Rattus norvegicus: one gene and its partner. The protein of the gene in region 1 purifies or fractionates together with the protein of each later gene. This does not show direct contact. Links are inferred from orthologs where the notes say so. Each region holds a gene or a part of one and is shown in the gene's direction. Other genes may lie near its edges. The genes, in order: Acvr2b and Inhba.

Region 1 (3,808 bases):
CTGGCAAGCCTGGACTTAGTCGCCCAGGGTGCTTGAGGAGTCGAGCACTTGCTGGCTGATACTGGCTGGGCACCTCACTCAGCGTTTGTAAATCAGGGCGCTGGCATCAGCTCCCCCAGAGACTGCTGCCGGCCTGGCTCTCCTCGTGCATGTGGAGGCCAGGAGACCAGTGGTGGGGATGAAGTAGGGCATGTTGGGGTGGCTGTCCTGTGGCAGGGCTGAGCCGCCTCCCTACCTCAGGACAAGCAGTCGTGGCAGAGTGAGCGGGAGATCTTCAGCACACCGGGCATGAAGCACGAAAACCTCCTGCAGTTCATTGCTGCAGAGAAACGAGGCTCCAACCTGGAGGTGGAGCTGTGGCTCATCACAGCCTTCCACGACAAGGTGAGCTACACCCCAGCAAGGCCCCGGGGTGGACAGGGAGGTCCCAACGGTGGCTTTGCCATGAGTCGACCCCCGTGTCAGCCGCACCTCGGTCCCCTCTGCACGCTTGCACCAGGACATTCCCGCTGGGCCTGGGTTGGGTTGCACCCTGTTCTGCATTTGGAGCCTTTGCCCACAGTCGGCTGCCTTCTCTTAGGGCTCCCTCACGGATTACCTCAAGGGGAACATCATCACGTGGAACGAGCTGTGTCATGTGGCAGAGACGATGTCACGAGGCCTCTCGTACCTGCATGAGGATGTGCCGTGGTGTCGTGGCGAGGGCCACAAGCCTTCTATTGCCCACAGGTACCTGGTTAAGGAGCCCTCCCTGCTGTAGAGCATGGCTCTGCTTCCTTGAATGTGCCTGTGCTGCGTCCCAGTAAACCCTGCTCTCCCGTAGCTGGAGACAGCTAGCTCTCCAGGCCAGTGCTCTTGCGCCCTCTGCTGGGCACAGGAGAAAGTGCTGACTCTGGAGAGCTGGCTCTTCAAATTCTCAGATTGTGGTCCAGAACCTTTTATGTCCATGTTTGCTGATGGTTGCTAGCACAGAGCACACGTGTTTTATGTGTCGCCACGATAACATCAGCTGTCCACTATTCCCCTGGGGAGCCCCACTCTATACCGATGAGATTTAAAAGGGCAAACGGTAGTCAATTACCAGTGCCTAACTTCACGGAGCTCTGGATTAGGATCTTTTAGGATTTCTGAGCCACGCTGTTGTTTGGTTGGTTCGGTTTTGGTTTTTCTAGTCTAGGCAGAGTGGACTGCCTGCACCACTCGAGCACTGCCCTGCCTGTGCGGCTTTAGCAAGCTGACTCTATATTCTTGTTCACATTCCAAACATTGTAAGATTTGTGTGCCATGCCCTGTGAGATTTATGGGCCAGCTTCTAGTGCTGTGGTATAGGGTCTTACCCAGCTGCCAGAGTGGGACCTGCTGTATGGGCCCCTGAACTCCCAAGCCGTTCGTCTCCTGCCCCACAGAGGTGGGGATGGTTTGACCCAGGAGCTACAGGTCATGGACTCTAGTAATTTGAGAGGCAGGGTGGGAGGAGGATCGAGATCAGCCATCTCAGGGTGGGCCGGGTCTTGAACCTGTGTGACAGTTTGCTCTTGGTCTGCTCAGGGACTTCAAAAGCAAGAATGTTCTGCTGAAGAGCGACCTCACCGCGGTGCTGGCTGACTTTGGCCTGGCTGTTCGGTTTGAGCCGGGGAAGCCTCCAGGGGATACCCATGGGCAGGTAAGGAACCTGGGCAGTGGGAGGAGAGGCTGGCACAGAGCTCTGGGCTCAGCTGGGGTGACTGCAGAGCTACGTGGGAACTTGGGAACTAGGTTCTTAACTCACCAATAGAGAGGTTGGCGAGGCTTCCTCCAGCCACCCGGCTGAGGGATCCAGGCTTCATTTGGGCTTCGGCAGCTCGTCCTGGTATTTCAGTCTTTCTCTTTCTGTTGTAATTTTATTTTATTTTCCCAAAAGACGTTGTGTGTGTGTGTGTGTGTGTGTGTGTGTGTGTTGTGTAAGAGAGTCAGGTTTTTTTCCAGCATGTGGGTTCCTTGGCTTGAACTTGGGTCGTGTGGCTTGCAGCAAGCCTTTACCACAGAGGCTCCTGCCTGCCCTCAGTTGTAGTCATTAAGCGAGATTAAAGAGGAAAGAAAGGGTGCTGAGAATCCCAGCCAAACGTGTAGAAAAGGCCATGAAAATTAAGCCAGCAGTCATCCTGGGGGAGTCTCCCTGTGGTTTAAACGAGTTCTCCACATTCTTCTTCGGCCTTTTGACTGTTGCTTCATTGTTTATTTAACCTGTGTATTCCCGTTTCCACACGAGTTGCTTGTCTGGGTTTGGAGGCCTGGGGTAGCCACTGGGCATCTTCCTTGATCACCTTAAGCCTTGTCGATTAATACTGGGTCCTTTGCTGGTTATCAGGTAGTCTAGCCAGCTTTCTCTGGGGACGCCATCGTCCCCTCCCTGTGCTGCTGTTGCCACATTTATGTGGCTTCTCGATATCCAAACTTCTGTCTTCACACTTGAGTGGCTGGTGCCTTAGGAGCTAAGCCGCCTCTTTATCTGTTAGAGGGTCTGTCTCTGTGTCGTTCAGGTTGGTCTGGGACTTTTAGTTCTCCTGCCTCAGCCTTCCGAGTGTCTGGCTTTACTTTAGGCACCGTTGGAGGAAAAAGCCTCAGAGTAGCCTGTTTGAGATGTTCCAGGGCTGCACAGCTGTCTAACAAGCACTGCCTCCAGTCCATCAGTTACTGTCAGATAGAATCATAACCCTGCTTCAAAGGGACGGACCAGGGCTTCAGCTCCAACGCTTCGTGCTCAGAATTCCAGTCTTACCCAGCCTGGTGCTCATTGCTTCTCCCAGCCAACTGCATTTGAGTACAGCTGGTCTCTGGAGATCCTGTCCTTTGTCTTCCTGTAGGTTGGCACCAGACGGTACATGGCCCCCGAGGTGCTGGAGGGGGCCATCAACTTCCAGAGAGACGCCTTCCTGCGTATCGACATGTACGCCATGGGCCTGGTGCTGTGGGAGCTCGTTTCTCGTTGCAAGGCCGCAGATGGTGAGTGGTTTGTTGGCTATGGGCACCCTGGGCTGGGGGCTTGGAGCTGGGCCTTGTGATTCCATCAGAGCCCCCACCCGTCACTCAGGGCCTGTCGATGAGTACATGCTGCCTTTCGAGGAAGAGATTGGCCAACACCCTTCACTGGAGGAGCTTCAGGAGGTGGTTGTCCACAAGAAGATGAGGCCCACCATTAAGGATCACTGGCTGAAACATCCGGTGAGGGAGCTGGGTTCTGGAGTCAACAGGGGTACGTGAAGGGAACCTGCCTCGGCGTGAGGAGGGAAGGCTACCATGTTCCCTGGGTTCTAGGGACATATCCCTGAGGTTGTGGGAAATATGGTAGGCCCTTTCCTCCTTCTTGTCCCCTCTGTGGCTCAACTGGGAAACGTTGGACAAAGCTCTGTGTTTGGGCTTTGTGTTTATTTGACTTGAGTTCCAGTGTTCCAAGATGAGCAGCTCTGCCTGCGGGGAGCGGGAGCGAACATTCTCCTGGGCCCGGGCTCCGTGGGGTAACCAGCGGGAGGAGAGGAGTTTCAGGGAATTTGCAGCCTGATAATCCACCTATAATGGCTATAACTGGGCCTGGGCCGTAGGCCCTTCCTAATCCCCTGACTCATAGCCACTGGCTGCCCTCGCTGAGTAGCCCTAACAAGGGTTCTTTCCTCCCTCCCCGTCCTCCGCAGGGCCTGGCCCAGCTCTGCGTGACCATCGAGGAGTGCTGGGACCATGATGCAGAGGCTCGTCTGTCTGCAGGCTGTGTGGAAGAGCGGGTATCCCTGATCAGGAGGTCGGTCAACAGCTCTACCTCGGACTGTCTCGTCTC
Region 2 (3,908 bases), on another chromosome or scaffold:
TCCCCTGCAACTTTATTTTCTACTTCAGTTCTCTTACTTGTGGTTCTTAGACTACTCCTCTCCCCCCCCCCCTTCCATCCACTTTGTTCTCAATCACGAGAGACCCTCCAGACAGCTCCTGGTGTCATAGAGGAACCTTGCCCACTTCAAACCTTTTGCTGGTGGGCATAGTGAAAAGTTTATTTTATTCATGTTAAATCCGGCACACAAAACAACATATCTGGTCATATGGCTTTTATTAGCTCCCGATTTTGCACATTTTATCCGACTTGTCATGAGAACCTGGCCAGTGCTTCAGCTGTACTCTTTCCTGAGAACAAGAGCCCCTCTTTACTGTGCTTATCGGAGCATTCCTTCTCTCTATGTTATCTCACTGCCAGTGTGACCCAGGCCAAAGAAAATCCTAACCTAACTTTCCTTCTATTTTAAGGAGCGTTCACTTCTTTTCATTAAACTCGTATTTATAGTGTTTACAAATGATAGGGCTTGATGTTCAAGCTTTTAAAGAAAAGATGCATTTTGCGTGTGTGTGTGTGTGTGTGTGTGTGTGTGTGCTATTGTTGTTTTTGCTAGTTAGGATGGGACTCTAAAGACCTAGGCATAATACTTATGAAGTTCACTTGCAGAAGAAGAGCATTTTCCAAGTCTGAGGTGAGAAATGGTATATGAAGCCGGCATTCGATTTAAAGGTGTAATTAATAGTGTGAGTCAAAGCAGGGCGACCACGGACATACAGATTTTCCTCAAGAAAATAGTTTACTGTAGTCATAATTATAAAACTAGAATCCCTATGAAGAACACTATGACTTTTCTTTGCTGTGGCAAAAGTACGGTGCTTTGCAAATAGGAGTAGTTTTATGAAGTAACAGATGTTTTATGTGTAGACATAAAGCCAAGGCTGATTCTAGTAAGAAGTGGGTATGAATAGTAACCTGTCAGAGCTGGACACTCTTGGAGATGTGTGTACTCGGTTCTCTTATGTTTGTAAAGGGTGGACTATTCCTAGCCACAGGCTTCACTGGCTCAATGCATCACCCAGGTCGTGTCTCAGAAGCCAAGAGAGATTTCCATTAGATAGTGAATTATGAAATGTCTCACACTGGAAAAACGAGTCATCTGCTGATGTCATGCTGATTCTAACCAATCCTAAACAAAGCCCCAGCCCTCCTCTTTGAGAGGTACCAATGTGTGAGTGTACAACTAAGTACTACAGTATAAAACTTCACAGTGCCAATACCATGAAGAGGAACTCAGACAGCTCTGACCTCATGAGACAAGAGCCGGCTGGCAAAACAGAAGGGACCCGAAAGGTAATGCTTTTAAATTCTTGCTTTCGAGTTCTCTACACATTAAAAGTCAGTGTGGCTAAAAGGACTTTTACAACTTTTTGGCACCTCCATAGGCATTGTAATTTGTATCGTTTTTCTATTGTGCAAGCAGGTTAATACTGTTTTTTAATAGTCCTAGAGCATGCAAATAGATTATGTGTTTATACAACCCACTCAGCACACATATACAAGTACATATGCCAAAAAGAAAGCTATTTTTAAGAGTTCCATTTGCAAACAGTAAATCCAGGGAACACACACATATTCACATGCAGAGAGAATCCAAACATTGATAAGTTGCTGTTATCCAAATGCTACTATTAGGACTCTTGAGTTGTTTAGAGTCATTAAACTTTTAGCTCTATGTTAGTCTGTCTTGTAAAACTTAACTGTGCTACAAAATGCTTCGGGTTCTGTATCTGTAACTCCAAATAGGTGGGTGATGTTATTAGAACACAAAGATGTTCTCCTAAACCATTGTGATGCCAGTGTTCCTACTTCCCTCAGGTTTTTTTTTTAATGAGAGTTTTGTTTTAGGTAATATGGACAGTCTTACCAACAACAGCAGTGTCCTTGGTGTTTCTGGAGGTGGGAGTCCTCCTAGCCCTGCAGAGGTGTCAGAGGGCTTATAACCAAGAAAGTCTTGTGCATTGCTGCTTTGGGGAAAGATAGCATTTGTGTTGTTCAGGAAGCATTGTTACCTGTCAAAACTGGAAGTTTAACCTAGTGTCATGCTTATCTGAACTTCTTCTCCTTGTATGTAGATCTTATGCTTGTAGTTTTGACCCCTATTAACTCTGTCCTCATGACCTGCTTTGCTAGCCTAGAATACTCTGAACACAGCGGGTGTCAGGCAGAAGGGATTGAATGTATCTGCAGAAACCAGCGGGCTTATATGTAGGGAAGAAACTGAGAAAGAAGGACTGCTATAACAGATGGACACCTTAAAGATCTTCTGCACAAGACAGAACGAAAAGGTGGTGTGAAGAATTAAAAAGAAGCCTCAGAAAGGCATTGTTTTAAGTGCACATTTGTCTCGTTCTCTGAATACTGTAATCCTCAATGAACTCGGCTCTGCTGGTACTTTGAAGAGAAACAACACAGCCAGGCAGCCTGCCTTGAATGCTACACTATGGTCAAGGCTGGCGAGGGGAGGTGGGCAGCAGAACAACAAAAGTAGTGCATGCCAGAGAAAAAGAATTTCCTGGTATATTTTAGAGATTCTTGCCCTCTAGGCTAGTTACATTGTAAGAGTACATTGTTTTTCATGAAAGGATGTGAGAAAGACCAAATGAATTTTGTGCTTTATCAGTGAAGCCAGGACAATGGGCAGTGGGCTATAATTTCTGAGTATATGTGCATCCAGGGTAGAGAAAGGAGATGCAGGGGGCAGGGTGTGTGTGAGAGTACCTTCCCTGTGTATGTAAATTGCTGCTTGCCCAAGGGAGCTTCCAATGCCCTGTTGTGGTGCCCACTTGGCAAAAGCAGAGTGTATTATATGACCCCAGACAAAAGTTGTGTTGCGCTCCAGGTCCCATAAGATCGCCTGCTGGCATAAGGACCCTGGACATTTAAATATGAATGAATGGCAGAAAGGAATGGTTCTGGATTCTGTCAGGCAGAACAACCAGCTGTCTCAGGCAGCCCCTCTGCCTCAGCCCCAGCCCCCAACCAATCTGAGGACTTCCCTCAGACCCATATCAAGGTCAGGTGGGTGCTTACTCCAGGGAAGTACAAGACCATGGGAGATGACTTGGTGCCACTTTCCTATCTAGTTATCTCAGTGAATGGAAACAGTGCATTTAATTTCCTTGGACTCCCCCGCCCCCCAAAGAAGAAAGGTGAGGCAAGAAAAAGGTTTGAGCAGAGAAAGTTGAAAAGAAAAAAAAAGTACAAAATAAAGAAAGAAACCCCCAGACTAAAAGTGAACAGAATTAGGAGAATTTATTGTAGAAAGGACGGAAGAGTCCCCATCCCCCCCAGAGAATGGTAGGATTGGGAGAGAGGTGTGTGTGAGGGAGCAAGGAGCAGCGGGAGGCAGCCTGTCAGAAACGGGCTGTCCCTCCTCCCTAGTCACAGCTCATACTCACAGGCGCCCTGCCTCCTCCCTCTCCCATTCACTCACTCACATAGGACCAATCCGCCTCTCTCTCTCTCTCTCTCTCTCTCTCTCTCTCTCTCTCTCTCTCTCTCTCCCTTCCTCCCTCCCTCTCAGTCCCTCCCTCCCCTCCCCCTCCTTCTCTTTCTTTCTCTCTCCCTCCCCCTCCCTTGCTGTCCCTCTCTTTCTCCCCCTTTCCCTGTCTTCTTTCCCCCTCTCTCCCTTTTCCCTGTCTCTCCCTCCCATCCTCTCTCAGTCTCTGTCTCCCCCCACCCTGTCTCTTCCTTCCTCCCTCCCTCTCTCCCTCCCTCCCTCTCTCCCTCCCTCCTTCCTTCTCTTTTACTCGGAGACAGTCAGAACTCTCCTCCCTGACAGCCACAAACCTACAGCACTGACTGCATTCAGAGAGGGAACCTGCAAACAAAACTTCACAGAAAACTTTTTGCTCTTGTTCCAGAGAATTTGCTGAAGAGGAGAAGGAA

What was found.
Region 2: the proteins of Acvr2b (region 1) and Inhba purify together in Homo sapiens (affinity purification with western blotting; 3 studies listed by BioGRID and IntAct, with this or other methods). This does not show direct contact. The link is inferred for Rattus norvegicus from reciprocal best matches to the Homo sapiens genes ACVR2B and INHBA.

The regions. Positions count from the first base shown.
Region 1 is NC_086026.1:128,044,263-128,048,070, forward strand, and holds part of Acvr2b (activin receptor type-2B precursor), read left to right. Parts: intron 1-240; coding exon 241-384; intron 385-580; coding exon 581-729; intron 730-1,548; coding exon 1,549-1,663; intron 1,664-2,843; coding exon 2,844-2,982; intron 2,983-3,070; coding exon 3,071-3,201; intron 3,202-3,668; coding exon 3,669-3,808. UniProt on the Homo sapiens protein: Transmembrane serine/threonine kinase activin type-2 receptor forming an activin receptor complex with activin type-1 serine/threonine kinase receptors (ACVR1, ACVR1B or ACVR1c).
Region 2 is NC_086035.1:53,801,854-53,805,761, reverse strand, and holds the start of Inhba (inhibin beta A chain preproprotein), read left to right. Parts: upstream 1-1,253; 5' UTR 1,254-1,310; intron 1,311-3,883; 5' UTR 3,884-3,908. UniProt on the Homo sapiens protein: Inhibins/activins are involved in regulating a number of diverse functions such as hypothalamic and pituitary hormone secretion, gonadal hormone secretion, germ cell development and maturation, erythroid differentiation, insulin secretion, nerve cell survival, embryonic axial development or bone growth, depending on their subunit composition.